3 linked regions of the Drosophila melanogaster genome follow. The protein of the gene in region 2 interacts with the protein of the main gene of each other region in a pairwise test. Each region holds a gene or a part of one and is shown on either strand. Other genes may lie near its edges.

Region 1 (3,516 bases), 7.3 Mb from region 2:
GGGAAACCCTCTGTGGAAATTTGACCGCAAGGCGAGTGACAGAAGTGGCACAGGCCACCCAATAATTGTGCATGCCCAGTGGCACCCGAGCGAAAGAAATCACTTAAAAACTTGCACACACTCGCCACACGGTCACCTATAAATTATGCTTCACACTCAGTTCAAATAGAAGTTGTAACAATGAAATTAAAGCCACCACAAAGGGCAGTGATAAGCAGTGAGGAGTGTTGCGGGAAGTAGGGGCAACTCAACGCGATCATAAATCTAATGTGTAATAAATTTAAACAGCGAAATCATGCAAAAAGCAAAGGCAGGTCCTGTGGCTTAGCTCACGCACAGGACTCCTTTTCTAATTTTTTTTTCTACTTTTTTTTCCTCGACAATGACTACACTTTAGCGGCAAATTTGTGCGCATTGTCGCCGTATTATTTGCTATTATTTATGCCTTTTCCACTATTTACTTCCTTTCTTAGCGCCCGCCACGCTATTTTCAGGGGGAGGTATGCAAAAGTGGCCACTCCTTGGCCAAAGGAATAAAACCCACACATTTACAGCCGCGATCAGTTTAATAGTAGTTTTTATAATAGTTAAAAAAAAACCAAAAAAAAAGTATAACGCGAATATGAACCACAATTAAAAAGTTATTAAGTATTATGAAATGTATTGTAGCCAAAAATAACTAACAAAACAAAACTAATAAATACCATAAGTCTTAGGGTAAAAACCGAACCATTTTGTTTACAAAACATATTATATAGATCTAGCACTATTTATGTAACCGCAACTGTATCCACATATAGAACAGACGGGAAAATACACTGGGAAAACCGCAGGCAATCATGGCTGGCTGACACTTATGGCGTGCTAAGCATTTGCGCTCGGAGAGGCTCGCGTGGATTTTAAACATTTTCACACAACATTCTCATATTTAGACGTCGCCCATCAGCCAGTGGAAATTCGCCTGCCGGTGTGTGGGTTTTGCCTTTTGCCAACCCGGCGATAATGTAAGCTCCTTTAAGCCCGAAATAAAGAACGCGAAAAGCGGACGCGAATGCGACCGCACCAACAACATGCAACGGCACACGCGACCCCAAACGAAAATCTGTGAAATGTAATTGTTACCATGAAAGCAGGGCCAACTCCCCTTCACCGTTCCATTTGGCAAGGGAAACCCCCTTTTGAGGGCATTTTAAGTAAGTTTCGCAGTTTGATAATCGCCGGGCCTCAGCCGCCAACGCTGATATACAAATTGGCTTTTGCAATGACTTTATATATTTTACGAGTTGCGGTCCTTTTTTCGAGTAAGCGTCCTTTCGTCCTTCAGTCCTTTAGCCGTTTTCCGTTTCGCATGTGAGCAGCCCTGGGATGCGATTATAAGGGAAAACTGATGCAGATAAAATTAATTGAATTCAAAAAGCCAAGCCATTGGTCTTGCTCCATCCGTTTTCTTGCCGAATGTGCCTGCACTTGGCTTGGCGAATTTTCGCCATACTTTTCTGGGTCATGTCATGGGGAAAGTAAATAGTTACATGGCCACGGCTGCCTTTTCTTTATCAGGAATTAAAATCAAGTTGCTCCACTCGCATGAACTATATATGCACTATAGCAATCTCAATGGCAAATTGACAAAATCAGATTGGTGGAAAGTTCGTATTCTACAATTATTAAGTACTATTGCCTTCATTGGCAAGGGCAGTAAATAAAGTACAAATGGAGTTTCGGTTTCAGAAGAAAGCCAATAAGTCGTGTATTCTAAGAACATTCGAATTCGTATTTGAATTTCCATAGAATAATGTTGATCGATTGGGCGGTCTTATAAGCACATAATTCCGCAAAATTTGAAAGCCATTATCTTATCGATTTACCAACAAACCTTTTAGAAAATCGGAAATACCTTGGAATAGATTACCAATGAAAGTTACATTTGTTATCTCTTGGGTTATGTTATTTTGAATTATTATTAAATTTTAAGTGTACAATAGAGAAAATGCACATTTCACAAAGTCCCAGCGGTAGTGTACTTTTTATAATTTTGGAAGCTTAATCTTATCACTTAAAAACTAGAAGCAAAAAAAAATTGTACATATGGCTATCTCAGAAGGAGACCTTAGAGGGGTTTTCCTCATTTTATTTGTCATGACTAATTCAGCATTTACAAGGCCTTACTCATCGCCATGGTCATCATAATATTCCCATGTTTGTGCTAACTAACACTTCTATCGATTAGCAAGCAATACTATACAGATTAGATAGTACTTATCTTTATGAGGCAGGTCTTGATTAGATTTACCCTGACAATATGGATTTAGTTGCCTATAAGAGTTGGACCCAACCGCACGGTTTTCAAAGTTTGCAAAAATATCTGAATAATGCCACCACCACACGGAGGACCCGGAGGCCATGGACATGGAGGACCGCATCATGGCGGACCCCCGCATCATGGAGGCCACCATGGACCGCCACATCACCATGGACCGCCCCATCATCACCACGGACCTCGTCCCTGCTGCCTTTGCTGCACAATTTCATAAGAATTTATAAAGGAATTTATTAAAGATTGTAGTTTTAAGAACCCTCACGTAATAAATACGAATGCCCCGAAGGAGTTCTGTAACTGTGTATGTGTTTAAGGTTAATAAGACGCCTAATTAGTGTAATCGAGTGCCTCGAGTGCTAAGCAATTAATGGCTGGCTAATCATTATGTGTCACCTCAAAACGCTTTAAAACCTCAAAAGCCGCTGCCATAATACAAGTGTACCAATGGTATCTGTGTGTTTTGTTGCGTGTCGGGAATGCGTGTGTGTGTGTGTGTGTGTGCGTATTTGAGGGGGAGTGGATGGATGTGGTTGGAGGTGGAGATCCTGTAGCCATACACACACGCACTTCACATTTAAGGTCGGACTGGTCGGTGGCTCTAATTTATAGCAGCCAAGTGGATGCCGAAGACCAGAAGACATACAAGTGCCATAAATTCTGGCAAAGGAACACATTATTTATACTGTCAACCGGTCCATATTTCGGATGGGAAATACTACGGCCTAACCATAAATAAGTGCATTGCCTTTGCTGTGCTGCGAAATAAGTCTTCATTAGCGGTTAAAAGGCTGACTGGTTGACCCACAAAGGACTTCTTAACGCTACGAAATCGGTTCCCTATTCTCCATTTTCCGATTCACATTGAGTTGTTTTCGTCGCCCAGCCGCAGAAATGCCGCATTAAAGCCGGAAATTCCCAAACAACAACAAGGAAAATGCTTAAAGTTCAAATTAAGCACAACAGCTGGCGAAAAATTGAATTGAAAGCAGTAGGAGGAGCAGGAGCGGCAGCAGAGTGCCAACAAAAGCAACAAAGAGTCGCTGCTCCCGGTCACCCAACCCCGAAAAATCCCCAACCTTAAACCTCGAACCCAAAAACTCAACTCAACCCAAGGCATTTTCACGAAAGGCAGCGGAAAACAGCCAAGGGAAAACCTAAAAGGAAAAACCGAAGCACGCTTTTGGGCGACAGAGGCGCGA
Region 2 (5,685 bases):
AGGGCATGAGAAAAAGGGAAAAGGTCAGAAGCTATTAAAATTAAACATTTTTAGAGCTGATTTTGCTTTGCGAAAAGAAATAATTTGTTTTTTACTGTGTGCGCATTTGCAATTTTTTCGTTTTTTTTTCATTATATAATAATGACGGTATCAAATTTTACAAAAGGCGAACACAAATTATTAATCCAAAATTATTATGGAATGTTAGCTTTATCCTTATAGTTTGTCATAGTTCTGGATTCCTTTTAAAATCATACTGCCTCAGCCTCTGAAAAAGCCTCAAACGAGAGCGACAGTGAATTGTTTTTTTTTTTACGATTTTAGCATTTAAGCGTCGTCGAGCCTACGAACAACAATTACCGATCGGTCGGATCAGACAGCTAACAAAAAATAAGAGCTTCCATGGCAAATTCCACTTCCACTCCCATCCCCTCCCATCTTCATCGGCAACTGCAACTGCATATCCATCTGCAACTTCATCTCCATTAGAAACTCCATCACCAGCAGAAATAGCAAATGCACGCTCTCCCATGGAGGCTCACCTGTGTGGGTATGGACACGAGTGCAACAGGAGGATCGGATCGGGTCGGAGCAGAGCGAATCGCCTATATAAGACCAAAATAGGGCCGCGCTTGGCACAGTGTCTAACGGAGCTGCTTTCACTAGCCAGTGCGATCAGTGCCAGCCAAACGGGCGACAAAGCGGGCCAAATCAGTGGAATACAGTGGATAAGCGGCAGAGACTCCTTGCGAAATGAAAGTGCTCGTAAGTGGTTCACATAACCAATCACATAAAATCGGTCAAGTGATTCTCGATGAATGATTGGCAAACATTGCAACAGTTCGATCTTCTCAAATATAAAATTTATTGGTTTACATTACATCTAAAGGATAGGATTAAATATTCTTTTTTGTGATTACTTTGTTTGGAAATCGTAATGACTTGCATGTGTTAGTAAGCTTAAGCTAATATTTATCCTTTCAGATACTTCTTGTGCTGTTGGCCATTTCCTGCCAAGGACAACACCACCATCAACATCAGCACCAAAATGTGAACAACATACCACGCGATGACAAACCAGATCATCATCGTCATGAAGATCACAGAGAGACCAGCACCTGGATACCCATAATCAAGTACAACAAGGAGCAGAGTGACGATGGAAGCTACAAGACAGAATACGAGACGGGCAATAGCATCATTCATGAGGAAACCGGTTTCCTCAAGGACTTCGACACCAATCCAAATGGGGTGTTGGTTCAGCATGGCCAGTACTCCTACCAATCCCCCGAGGGAACTCTGGTCAATGTGCAGTACACGGCCGACGAGAATGGATTCAGGGCCACAGGTGATCACATTCCTACTCCGCCGGCTATTCCCGAGGAGATACAGAAGGGTTTGGATCAGATCTACGCTGGCATTAAACTGCAGCAGGAGCGTCTGGAGCAGAGGGCCAAGACAGATCCAGACTTTGCGAGGAAACTGGAGGAGCGACGCGTGGCCAACCAGAATGGCCAGTACATCGGTCTGCTGGAGAACCAATAGACGAGCTCCGCCCATTCCATTCCCCCACCGAACCGATGATCCTGGAAACGTAACTTCTTCGCATTCTATATCAACAACAACAAGACTGTGATTTCATTCTGCAAGCTCTTCCAAATCCAAATCGCTGTACCACACTGAATGATAATCGTTTAATAACTTTTGAATTTCCCACTAAGTACCATAAAACCAACAGACAGGGGCGCTCAATCAAATTAATAATATTTTATTAACGAGTGTGAAAGTTTCGCTGCTTTGAAACAATAAAAGTAAACTAACGTTTCCATTATGCCGAACCGACTTGATGATGGACTTACCATATTTTCTGGCATTATTTTTTTCCGTTTTACAGCTGACCATATCCACGATGTTCAGACAAACGTGACAAAGCGTTTATGGGTCCTCATTATTTTCTCAAAGTATTTCCCCATTTACCGTGCATCTTTCGTTGCTTTATTATTTACTTCGCAGATCGAATTACGTTAGTTTGTTGATCCCATTCCATGCAGGTTGGGTTTTCCAATTTTCCATATTTCTACATCGCCGCCATGGAAATTTTCTTTCGAGAGGAGTCTCTCGACTGGTTGCCAGTTGCATAATTACGACAGATTTTCCAGTGCCATTCGACTTGTCTTCGCGGGCAGGCGTTGCATGTGGAAAGGCTGAGGAAGCCAGTTGAAGTGGTCCACGAATGGGTTACTGGCGTAGCCCCGATTTCGCGCCGAGAAACCTCTTCGTTCTGCCAATTATTGTATTTAACGTAGGCTACCTTTACCGTTTGGCATTTCGAATGGAGTAGCCCTTGGCTACGCAAATATTGAAACCAAAAACCACTGTCATCAGGTTGAAAGAACAAACAACCGAATAACCTTTTGGGCCACAAAACGGCAAACGATTTGGCCACCTAACATATTTGCATATAACGTAAACACACTGACTATACTCTGCGGTTATTTCTAGCTGAATATAAATCAAATCCGCTGCATTTTCACCACCGCCGTAGAAACAGACCCCGAAAGCGGGGCCCCGAAGAATGTTTATTCGCCATTAAGTTTCAACGCTCTTGCGCATAATTAAGACGAAAAAAAAACCATATAATAACGAAGCCGAACAAAGGAAAATTTCTATGGCCCGTGATTAGAAAGAATCTTTCTTGTGGGCCTGTGCGGTGCTGGAATTGATTTGGCCAACTCAGTTGCCGTTTACAAGCCGTCGCGTGCAGATCGCAAATCGCCAGCAAAAGAGATACTTCCTCTACAATATACAATATCTATAAGAAAGCTGAAGATCGAATTCGCAAGAGCGTTACACCGAAAACTGGTAGCGATAATACAAATATTTGTTTGTGGGGAGTGAAAAGAAATGGGGAAGTGAAGTGGTTGATCGACAGAAAAGTGAAGATGTGAAGAACTGTAGATGTGAATATTACATTGACATCGAAGCAACGTCAAAGAAAAAATAGCAGAAGCCAAAAATTAAACAATAGATTGTTATTGTGGCTGCTGAAAACGAGAATGAATCAATAAACCTATAAAAACGAACTGTAAAATTGAAAAGTAGCACAGCATCTGCAAAAAAAGAAGATAGACGTGTTCAATTTAAATATGGTTAGTCATTGGAAAGAGTGTCTACTGTGGTCGCTGATAGCCCTCAGTGGCTGCCAGCTAATTGCCACACAGCAGCTGCAGGGTCCTCCCCGTCCCAGGGGGCGTATACGCATTGCGGATATGCAAAATCCCGTTTCAGTCGGCGGAGCACCTGCTCAGGCATTGGGAAACTGGCCAATTGTGCCGGCTGCAGGCCCCATCAGTTCCACTGTGCACACCCACATTCCACTGTGGCGCGAGGAGACCGCCCCCCTGCCGGCCACGCCCAGTCAGGAGGCGGTGGTGTACGGCAACTGGAAGCCAGAGCATCCGGAGAGGCCCGAGAAGGTGGACACGAAAATCGATTCGGAACCGCAGCCCAAGGAGCGGGTCTACGGACGCCTGGAAGCCATGCTCATGGGATTGCCGGCAGATGGTAAGAATTCAACTTCGAATGTGAATTTCCTATTAATATAAGTATCATTAAAAACAAGCAAACGCTGCTAGAATTTAATGAAACTAAAGTCTGCTTAGTCTTTTATTTAATAGGTTAAATATATTTTCAATAACCTGAATTATTAATCTCTAATGTTATTGATTTATATTAATGATAACTATATTGAAACCTAAACATCTTTTTAAAAAGATCTTCATGTAGCGTTTAATTTGGTCTCTGTTTCGAAATTGTTTGCTCATGTCTCAAATACTTCTATGCCGCAGCTATTGATGCCAAGCCATCAAGTTCCAGCGAAGAGCTGTCCGCTCCTATTGCCCCTGGTGGCTACCAGAATCCTGCCTATTCCCGACCAGTCAGTCGTGAAAGTTCAGCAGAGAAATATGGACGCCGGCGCATCAGTACTCAGCAGGTGCCACAACAATTCGAGTTGGCCAGGGTCAACGATTCGGAACCCATATTGAAGGCAATATCCAAGCAGATCAACGAGTCCGTGGAGACGACGACGGACAATCGAAGGAATTCCAAGAATTCCGCCGACGACAACTGGTTGCCCCTGCCGTATCCGTATCCTTACGATACCACAATGCCAGCTCCACCTGCAACGAGCTCCGTGGTACCAGGATTTATGCAATCCTCGGTGGTGCATCCACCGGTTCCCACACAGCCCACTAGATCCACTGCGGGTCTATTGAATTGGCCCACTGATTTCATCGATAGCACATCCCTTACGGTGAGCACCGAAAGGATAGATGGGAGCATTCAGGGGAGCATTGACCGGCGCGACGAGAGCGTCTCTGATCCTGTGGACGAATACAAGTACTACGAGGATTCTCTAAACTCCGCCCAGATGCACAGCGAACTGAGTGTTCCAGAGACCGTGCCGCTGAATATAACCCGGGTGGGCATTCCTTACGAGGATCGAAATGCCTCTGAGGAGCCAACCATATGTGTGCCTCTCACCGTCTCGGAAACTTCGCTTTCCTCCGACAGCATTGTGCCCCAGTTGGTGGAGGTCGAAAGGGTCTACTGCTTCCCCCTTCCCAAGGTGGAGATACGTCCTGGTCATGCTCGTCCGCAGGTAGAACAGGTGACGAGGCAGCAGGAGATACTAGATGCAGATATGGATATACAGCCAACCCAAGTGGCTATACCGAGTGATTCCGGCGCCGGATCCCCGCAAAGATCACTTGGCACGCTCGCGGTGCTCCTCGTTATTGCTTGGAGCTTCCGGCGAGAAAATAGTATTTAAATTTAGTATCACTTGACCTTAACACAACTCAGGGGCTATTCGCTAATTACACTTACTTAACAATTAAACCTAAGCCAACCCATACAATTCACTTCAGCTGTTTTTTTATTTTGGGTGGAAATTGATGGGTCATCAACTTGTTTATCTCTAAGAAGAATATATTTTTCATATATTTCAATGAATTTAGAATAACTCTCTAATCTACCTTTTTTCGTATCCTACCTTTAGTCGATTAGTCGAAGGCGTAAACAAAAGCTGATAACGACCTGCACTTATGTAGATAATGAATTCTTAAGCATTCCTTATCTCTATGGATTTTTTGATTAACAATTTCATTCATAGAAAAATACTATTCGTTGTAGAACTGTAATGAAATAATTATATAACTAGGTAGGACATCCAGTCGAGGTGTAAAGATAACCCATCCAAAAATGCAGTAAATTGAATCTAATCGAATGCATATCATGCTTACTACGAATTGTTCGTATCTAATCAGTCAAGCGTCAGAGTGTATGGAATCAATCAAAATTTATTTTTATATACATAATGTATTTATTGGATTGGATCATATCAGATGATGCCTAACTGTGAAAGCCAGCATTGCATCAAAGTAACGACATTATTATCAATTGTAGAAACCTTTGCAAAAAGAATCTCCTAGAACCGGAAAGTAGGGAAAATATTTAACAGCTTTAGATTTTAGTATAATATATACATATATTCCAGACTAATTTTTAAGCTTACCAGAAGCCTAACCAAACTATGATTACATTTATTTATGACAGCCACATTCTCACCCAAGTGAAATTGTTTTAAAAGGGAAAGAACTTTCAAATTTATGGGTTGGCTGC
Region 3 (8,966 bases), 1.1 Mb from region 2:
TTAAAGATTTTTACCGAATTACAAACGAAGTAATGTATGGAAATTCATGGAACTTTCTTCTCAGGACGAAGACCTGACCCCCGAGCAGATTGCCGTTCTGCAGAAGGCATTCAACAGCTTCGACCACCAGAAGACCGGCAGTATCCCCACCGAAATGGTGGCCGATATCCTCCGTCTTATGGGTCAGCCCTTCGACAGGCAGATCCTTGACGAGCTGATCGACGAGGTCGATGAGGACAGTAAGTGTTCGCAGCCTATATTGCCGGGTGCCCAAACTAATCCTCGATTCTTCTGCAGAATCCGGTCGCCTGGAGTTCGAGGAGTTCGTCCAGCTGGCTGCCAAGTTCATCGTAGAGGAGGATGATGAGGCCATGCAGAAGGAGCTGCGCGAGGCTTTCCGTCTGTACGACAAGCAGGGCAATGGCTACATTCCCACCTCCTGCCTGAAGGAGATCCTCAAGGAACTGGACGACCAGCTGACCGAACAGGAGCTCGACATCATGATTGAGGAAATCGATTCCGACGGCTCTGGCACCGTTGATTTTGATGGTAAGTGCGCGGACCAATTAGCCGCCGTCAGTCGGGCTATAAAGATCTTGGATTCCTTGGCGCGCTGCCATGGTATTTTCCACACAAATTATATCAATTTGTTGCGGTGGAGAACCCCTACCCCTCCCCACTAACACCACCATCCCACCAACGAGGGGAGACGCCCTTGTGGTGCTTTATTTATAGTTCTTTAGATCTTTACACAGAAACAAGCAGATCACTTTGCCCCAGATTCTAAGGGGCATTTCACTATTCCTAAAACAAAATCCGTCCATATTTTCCGCCTTTTATAATTGTTCCGATTGGTGTACCAGTTTAAAAAGAAACAAATTTGTATTATGAGGTTTTGGTCCAATTTCCACTTGTATTAGTACACAAACCATATTTTAGTTATCAACAATAATAATAATTAATATTATTTTGTATTTAATTTCCAGAATTCATGGAGATGATGACTGGCGAGTAAGCATTGTGGACCCAACGTATCTCATAATTGTCTACCCCCCAACACCCGAGGCTTGAATAAACGTTTTGTATTTTATTTCTACGATTGAGTAATCATAATTACGCTATAAATAATCCGCTCGTTCAGGAACCGATTGAGTAGAAAAACCCAAAGCGCGGCAAACATTCTATGGCTGCAGTGCATCTGCATCCGAGTTGAGTCATCTTAATTGCCAATTGCCACCCTCTGGCGTGCGGATTATTATTAAATTTCAATGTTTGTGCAATGGGCTGGGAGTGGGCGTGGCCGCTCTGCTCATTTGTGTGTTAATTTGGCAAGGCCATTCGGCGTATGAGTGATGCATGTTGCGCATACGCAACGTGGCCAGATGCATGCGGAGTTCTTTGTTTCAATCTTTCCGCTATTACTTGCGGCAGTGCGTGCACATTCCGTTTGCCACTTGACTGGCGTTCTGGTCCGCACAGCTGTGACCATCCCAAGCAGAATAAGGCCCACTGACAACCTGCTAGATTTTTGCCTTTCCAAACAGCCAATGTAGTATATCATAGCTATGCATGCAGGCTGGCAAATGTCAATGAGCATTCTCCTTGTTGCCAAAAGATGTCAAGCATTTACGCTAAACTTGGCCGCCGCGACATGCAGTGAGTTTGTTTTCCCAAATTCAGCGAAAAGAAGCAACTGCCCTTTCTGAAAAGTTAGCGAAAAAAAAGGAGAAGGGGCTTGGGGCAGATCGATGTGGATGGGTTGGGGTTTGGATGTTGCCACCAAGTGGAGCAACTTGTTTTGCGCAATGCTTAGTCTTTCGGCCGGAGGGTGTCGATATTAGTGGTATTTATTACCGCTTCGAATCCAGTTTTCAGTTTTTACCCAATCATTAGGTGAAAGGTCACAGACTGGACCTGGACGCCCTGTGAAAGAGCTGAAAATGTGGCGGATTGTGTTGGGTGTCAGATTTATTGACATCCGCCTGGGCAGACTTCTCAATATGCGATTCTTGACACCGAGCGCATTAAAACGGTTTCCCAAACGTGCAATTCAATGGAGATGAAGCTGAATGATGATGATGCGCTCGAGCGTTGAGCGTTTCGATTGGATTCCAATTTACGAGCACCACCAGCAGCAGTTGCTTGCTTGCTAATTTTTACCCACTAACCGAGGAGAGATGTGGCTGAGAGCGTTTGTTTAACAAGACAAGGTACATTGAGTAAACGAGATGCCGCCGTTGAGACAATAGTCAAAATGCATGGGCTTGCGGATGAGGATGCGGGGGCACCACCACCTCCTCCTCCCTTTTTCGTGCGATTGTTTTCTGCCCCAGCTGGGGACGGAGCCTCAGCTAGCACCACCACCATCACCACCACAGCTGCACACGATTGCAATAAATGCCATAAAGTATCAAAATCTCAGCACTCGCTCAGCACCGAGCTCCAAGCTGCAAGCGGCAAGCTCCGGCTGCAGTTTTCGTTCATTCCATTCCATTTGATTGCATTTGGCGCCAAACCAAGTATAAAAGCTGGAGAACTTGGGCTGCGATCGGCACACAAGTACCGTGACATTCGAGGAGCCACAACACGACACGCGGAGGCACTGCATCGCTGGTGCGGCAAAGGACTTACGTGGATTAACCCAGCTTTGTGGATAAATTAAGCAGTGGATAAATTGTGGGTGCGCCAAGGATTCTTCTTCTTAATCCTCGATCGAAACAATCAAAAGATTGCTGTCATGGCTCTTAAGTGGGTAAGTTCAGTGAAAGAGGAAAGTAACTTTGGGTTAGAAAATTCAAAAGATCCAAGTGTTCTAATGAAGAGTCCTTTGAAACTCCATATGCTGTTGTGGTTAGAAATTATTGTAGAGCTTTACTAATTTTTCCCGAAAAGTATCCTTCTTGAGATAATGACCTAGATTCAAAAATATATTTCAATGTTTGAATATAATATTCATATTTATATTCATATTTTCCGTTTTTATTCTTTTCGGATTTTTTACATTCATTACATTTTTACATTTTACATTCGAATGCAAAGATCTTAATGCTTCAAATTTAATTAAATTGATTTCATTACCCAATTTAATTTAAATGAAAGTAAAGTTACGAATTTTACCTTAGAATAAAGACATTCAATTATTTTAGTCTAGGGAATTGTCTCATCAGAAATCTGTATTAAATTGGCATAGGAATATTCTTATTCATCAAGAGTTTATAACTTTTCAGGAAACTTTGATTTAGTTAATTATTTAATCTCAACTTGGCAACTCATAAAATTCCGCGAAAAAGAACATGCCTAAACAATAGGCCACTGGAGTGTCCCATCTTGGATATTTTAGCACAGCCAAGGGTTTCCCCATTGCACTTAGCATATCCGATTGTCTTGAAAAGATCGAGTAATCCCCGTGAAACGCATAAATTAACAGCCCATTTGCAATCGGAGATGGTGGATGGCACGCAAAGTTGCCCAAGATGGTTTGGTCGTGGCCGATCCGCCCCGCCTCCAAAGCAGATCATCGAAATGGAAGCAGTGGCGACCCAATTGGCAGCCCATTTGCAATAACCGCAATTATATTTGCGGTTGCGAAACGCTGTCGAAGATGTCTGCTAGGTGGTCACGAACTCCAAGAGGCTCTCACAGACTCCTCAAGATATTCCGGCCCAAGGGGCAGGCGTTGCTTGTTTCGGTTGCATGTGCCACAGTCGCCGGATGAGTCAGTGTGGCAAATGTCAGAATTTCCACAATATTACATTATTACACTGCCCGGCTGTGGCGACAAGTGAGCTCATCATCGTGCCAATCGATGGAGCTGTTAGGTTTATGGCCCAATGGAATTCGTAAACGGTTTAAACTTCAACTTGACACTCGCTGGTCCGCTCCGCTTAGCCAACCTTCCCAGCCAGCAATTCTCTGTGGCACTCTCGGTTCACACGCTGCTGCATCTTCAGACGTCTTCTGTCTAACAAGAAGTCCATAAATATCATAGTTCGCCTCAGGCTGAGACAATGATGAGCCAGCCCGATGTTGATACTATAGTCAAGAGTCCCCGCTGCACTTGCAGCCTTAATGGGCGACGACGATCGGTTGCAACAATGGAAAACGTGAGCGGATCGGATTGCGTCGTTCTGTCAATGGACAAATGCTTCATTGATGAAATGGCCGACATTTGGCCACACTCTTGACCCCTTTGGAGGTTCCCAGCGGCGGGGTCATGATACCCACTTGGCCGAGATGTGTATCAGGGCTTAATTAACAGCAGAAACAATTCAAGGTTCTTCTTGTAATTTGAAGTTTGGAAAAAGCTTATCGTTTATTTTTGGAACGAACCATTGCTGTTTAACTTAAAATACACATTTATTACAAATAATTACCAAAATGCTATCATGAGTAAAGTACAGTTGTAAAAAATGACATAATGTTAGTAAGACATTAAAAATCGTTTAAAAGTATTTCTTAATACGAATAATTCGAAAATAATAATTTTCAGACGCTTAACATTATTTTAAGTTTAAATACGTCCTTGTGCTCAAGCAACAAAAGTTTATTCGAATAACACTTTTTATGGCGGTCGTTAAATGACTATTTCATTACATTTAGCAGCCTTTTTTCATGTTATCTTCAGATTTATGAATTAGCCGCAGTTAATGAAGTTAAATTTTAAACAATTAGCCACCCCTGCGATTTTTCACTGGCATTTATTTTGCAATCAAATAAGTCAACACGCCAAAGATTCGCTTCAGGCCAAATTGAGAACGTGGATCGCGATGGAAGATGCTGGATTCGCATGAACTTTCCATGTGCTTGCATAAATTTGTGAACTTACCGGGCAATCCCTACCTGCAACGATCTTTTTCAGGCTCTGGTGATCACGACGCTGGTGGTTGCCCAAGCAGCCAAGCTGGATAACAAATACCTGCCCCCACCTGCAAGTGCGGCCAGTGCGGGCGGCAGTCCGGGAGCAGGGCTTCAGGGCCCAGGAGGTGGCTTCGGCGGAGGTGGAGGATTCGGTGGCGGCGGAGCGGGTGGAGGTTATGGAGGAGGCGGCGGTGGCGGACCAGCTGGCGGCTTCGGTGGAGGACCAGGCGGTGGCGGTGCTGGTGGCTTTGGTGGTGGTAATAACGGACTTGGTGGCTTCGCAAACGGAAGACCCATTGCACCTGGCGGCGGCGGCGGAGGCGGCGGAGCACCCGCTCCACGCCCCAGTCCGTCAGGTGGCGCGCCACCAACTTCTGGACCTCCCATTCCGATCCTCTCATTTGTCAACGAGAACGACGGCGATGGCAACTACCGTTTCAGCTACGAGACTGGAAATGGTATAAAGGCCCAGGAGGAGGGCACCGTTAAGAACAAGGGATCTGAGAATGAAATCCCATCCGTGATGGGCTCATACTCCTACACAAATCCCGAAGGTGAACTCGTCGAGATCATGTACACGGCGGATGAGAATGGCTTTGTGCCCTCGGGCAACGCCCTGCCCACTCCACCGCCCATTCCGGAAGCGATAGCCAAATCTCTGGCTGCCCAGGGCATCTCCATACTGCCGGGTGGTGGATACAGTGGCGGTCCTGGAGGACAGGGTAAGTTTCTACAAAATAAATCAATGGATTAACATTCCATTTCATTGCTCACTTTTGATTGCAGGAGCAGGTGGCGGCGGAGGCGGTGGTTCGGGATATGGAGGCGGATCCGGATTTGGAGGCGGCGGCGCAGGAGGAGGATCCGGTGGAGGCGGAGGTGGAGCAGGAGGTGGCGGTGGATATGGATCAGGTAAGATACGAATTCAAGTCACATTTTGACCCTTTTTCTTTTTTTAGTCTTTTTTGACTTTAACTTTGATTATTTTTAGGAGGCGGCAGTGGTCGTGGAGGAGCACCAGGAGGTCCAGGTAACGACTGATTTATTTATACAATTTTTAAAAATGTTAACCCCTATTAGATTAATTTAATACTTTATCGATTCGTTTGCTTCTTTAGGTGCGCCAGGTGGAGGCGGATTCGGAGGTCAAGGTAAGTTATGTTCCAACGGCTTACACATGGATCTAAAATACTATTTATTTTTTAGGAGGTGGAGGAGGCTATGGAGGAGCTGGTGGCGGAGCTGGTCGTGGTGGTTCCCCAGGAGGTCCTGGTAAGTCCTTTTTCTAGATGAAATTTATTGTTCCTAAAGAAAATCCGTCTTAATTCACTTCATGAATTTATATTTATTTTCATATATTTCAGGATCACCTGGCGGCGGCGGATTTGGTGGTCAAGGAGGTGCTGGCGGCGGTTATGGTGGTGGCGGCGGCGGAGGACGCGGCGGTGGCGGAGCACCAGGAGCTCCCGGTAAGTTAACGAAAAGTGTTACTCCATAGATACTCAAAACTAATAACTTACTTCAACTAAAGGATCACCTGGCGGTGGAGGTTTCGGAGGTCAAGGTAAGTGATCCCGCCTGACTTTGCGGTTCAAGTTAAAACTATATACACTTTCCAGGTGGAGGCGGAGGATTCGGAGGTGGCGGCGGACGCGGCGGTGCTCCTGGCGCTCCCGGTGAGTTCATGATTTCATTCACTTTATATAATAGATAACACATTGCTTATTTTCAGGATCACCAGGCGGAGGCGGATATGGTGGCCAGGGAGGTGCTGGCGGCGGCTATGGAGGCGGCGGCGGTCGCGGTGGTGGTGGAGCACCAGGTGCGCCAGGAGCACCAGGATCCCCAGGTGGTGGCGGATTCGGAGGTCAAGGTAAGGGATTTTAAAACTTACTGCACATTCACCTCGAATAATACATTCATCTTGTAGGAGGTGGTGGCGGATTCGGAGGAGGTGGTGGTCGTGGAGGTGCCCCAGGAGCTCCAGGTGAGTACAAAACATAAATTGTTTGTTACTGAAAATAAGGAATTATTAATTAATAGGATCGCCTGGTGGAGGAGGATTTGGCGGTCAAGGTTAGTTAGCAAAACAATATTCCAGTTGCAGGTCTTAAGTAAAACATCTTCATCTTGTAGGTGGGGGTGGCGGATACGGAGGCGGCGCCGGTCGTGGTGGTGCTCCTGGAGCTCCTGGTAAGTCGATTTTAATATCTGCCTAGTGGCTTTAAAAACATACCATTCGTGTTTCGCAGGCTCTCCCGGAGGAGGAGGATTCGGAGGCCAAGGTTAGTAACTTAGTAACAGTACACTGTGCATTCCACAAAACTTACGAAATTCTTCAAGTTTCCGACTACTTGTTAAACTGTGTTATAAATATTATAATAATTAAAGTAATATTTATTTTTTAGGAGGTGGTGGTGGCTTTGGCGCCGGCGGTGGTCGCGGTGGAGCTGGAGGAGCACCCGGTGGACCCGGTGAGTAACATTGGTTTTTGTGATGAAGAGGTCACTCTCCCAATTTGTCACAACATATAGATGGTATTTACATTTTTTAATGTAGGATCTCCAGGCGGTCCAGGTTATGGAGGAGGTGCCGGTGGACCGGGTAAGAAGCATTATAGTTATAAACCCGGTTTTACAATCTGTGTGATTGCAATTGTAAAACTTGAATTAGCCTCATTCATCTTCATGAGAAAATGATGTGAAGAGCTACACTAGACAAGTGCTATTCCCACACATTTCAGTTTTTTTATTTTGACAATTCTTGTTTGGCAAAGCCTTGGTCTATTGTTTTACCCACGATCGACTAACGATCTTTCATGCATAAAACATTTCGGCTTGCACGCGGTCTCTTTGAAGTCGCTAGATTATAATAATTTTAAAGACTGCTTTAAATAATTACAACTAATCAAAGAGGGTTTACATAAATTTAATGCCACTCTAATCGCGATTGTTTCCATTTTTTATCTAGGAGGCGCCGGTGGACGTCCAGGCGGACCAGGATTGCCCGGCAATCAGTATGTTCCACCAGCGGCTGGTGGCGGAGCACCCGGCTCGCCAGGCAGACCAGGATCGGGAGGAGTTCCCGGCACAGGATCACAGTACATTCCACCTGCTCCGGGAGCGCCGGGCGGAGGTCGTGGAAACGGAGAGTTCAATCCTCAGACGGGCTATAGCTACTAAAATCAGAATTTATTCCAAAACGCCAATCAAATCTCTCAAATCGAAGAAACGTCATTTCCGTGCAGGCTGCCCTCAATGTTCTTTCGCTAAAACAATTAATTTATTTATATAAGCTTACCTCCCTCTTCCACTCTGACAATGTGTGTGTGCAACTATCGAAATAAATGATTATTATAAAATATTTGCTTATCATTTTGCGCCGCGTAAGCTGCGGAAATTGAAACAAACTGCTTGACTTTTCAGATGCATGTATTTCATGCCTTTGAGTTGCGACTACATCTTCAAACTAATCAATCATTTAAATGACATTAATTTGTCGTTATTTCTTTGGGGACTTCTTGAAGCGTCTGCCGTACTGATTATAGCCATATGGATCCACCAGGTTGTTCGGTCTGCCCCTCAGTTGTTGGGTGATTAGGGCCTGTTGCTGCTGCTCGTTTTGCTGCTCCTTCTGCTGCTGTTGCTGCTGCTGCTGTTGTTGCTGCTGCTGCTGCTGTTGCTGGTTGAGATTCTGCTGCTGTTGTGCCTGTTGTGCAGTAAGATTGCTGCCAAACGATTGCTGGCCAAATTGTCCGGCATACTGACCGGGTAAGTTGCCGGAATGCAACTGATTGAACGGCTGTTCCGGTTGATATTGCCCGGAGTTTGGCTGCTGCTGCTGCTGGAAACCGCGTTGCTGTTGCAACTGTTGTTGCTGTTGCTGCTGCTGTTGCTGCAGTGGAGTGAGCGGCTGTTGTCCTGGAAGCTGGGGACGAAAGGGGGCGTTGGGCAGTGGGGGTGGCAGCTGGCGGAAGGGCGTCTGGTATGGATTCAAATTGGGATTGAGCAAGCCCTGTTGATAGGGCTGGGCACCTGCGAAATATTGAGGGCTAGATGGAATCCCCGTGCCCTCCGCTCGAAATCCGTTCTCATCGGCGATGTAGCGCA

Evidence for each region.
Region 1: the proteins of CG13157 (region 2) and CG15126 interact in a two-hybrid assay, tested with the Drosophila melanogaster proteins (one large-scale study listed by BioGRID).
Region 3: the proteins of CG13157 (region 2) and Cpr47Ef interact in a two-hybrid assay, tested with the Drosophila melanogaster proteins (one large-scale study listed by BioGRID).

What each region holds. Positions count from the first base shown.
Region 1 is NT_033778.4:19,688,476-19,691,991, forward strand, and holds CG15126 (uncharacterized protein), read left to right. Parts: upstream 1-2,322; 5' UTR 2,323-2,369; coding exon 2,370-2,531; 3' UTR 2,532-2,603; downstream 2,604-3,516.
Region 2 is NT_033778.4:12,413,309-12,418,993, forward strand, and holds CG13157 (uncharacterized protein), read left to right. Parts: upstream 1-2,735; 5' UTR 2,736-3,146; coding exon 3,147-3,564; intron 3,565-3,848; coding exon 3,849-4,834; 3' UTR 4,835-4,923; downstream 4,924-5,685. Other genes in the region: Cpr49Ah (cuticular protein 49Ah), read left to right, coding at 754-765, 985-1,545.
Region 3 is NT_033778.4:11,266,163-11,275,128, reverse strand, and holds Cpr47Ef (cuticular protein 47Ef), read left to right. Parts: upstream 1-2,553; 5' UTR 2,554-2,737; coding exon 2,738-2,752; intron 2,753-4,858; coding exon 4,859-5,579; intron 5,580-5,643; coding exon 5,644-5,769; intron 5,770-5,848; coding exon 5,849-5,887; intron 5,888-5,975; coding exon 5,976-6,008; intron 6,009-6,063; coding exon 6,064-6,129; intron 6,130-6,221; coding exon 6,222-6,326; intron 6,327-6,388; coding exon 6,389-6,421; intron 6,422-6,476; coding exon 6,477-6,533; intron 6,534-6,589; coding exon 6,590-6,730; intron 6,731-6,787; coding exon 6,788-6,844; intron 6,845-6,900; coding exon 6,901-6,933; intron 6,934-6,993; coding exon 6,994-7,050; intron 7,051-7,109; coding exon 7,110-7,142; intron 7,143-7,265; coding exon 7,266-7,331; intron 7,332-7,416; coding exon 7,417-7,461; intron 7,462-7,827; coding exon 7,828-8,039; 3' UTR 8,040-8,214; downstream 8,215-8,966. Other genes in the region: TpnC47D (troponin C at 47D), read left to right, coding at 65-239, 298-549, 987-1,015; Cpr47Ee (cuticular protein 47Ee), read right to left, coding at 8,359-8,966.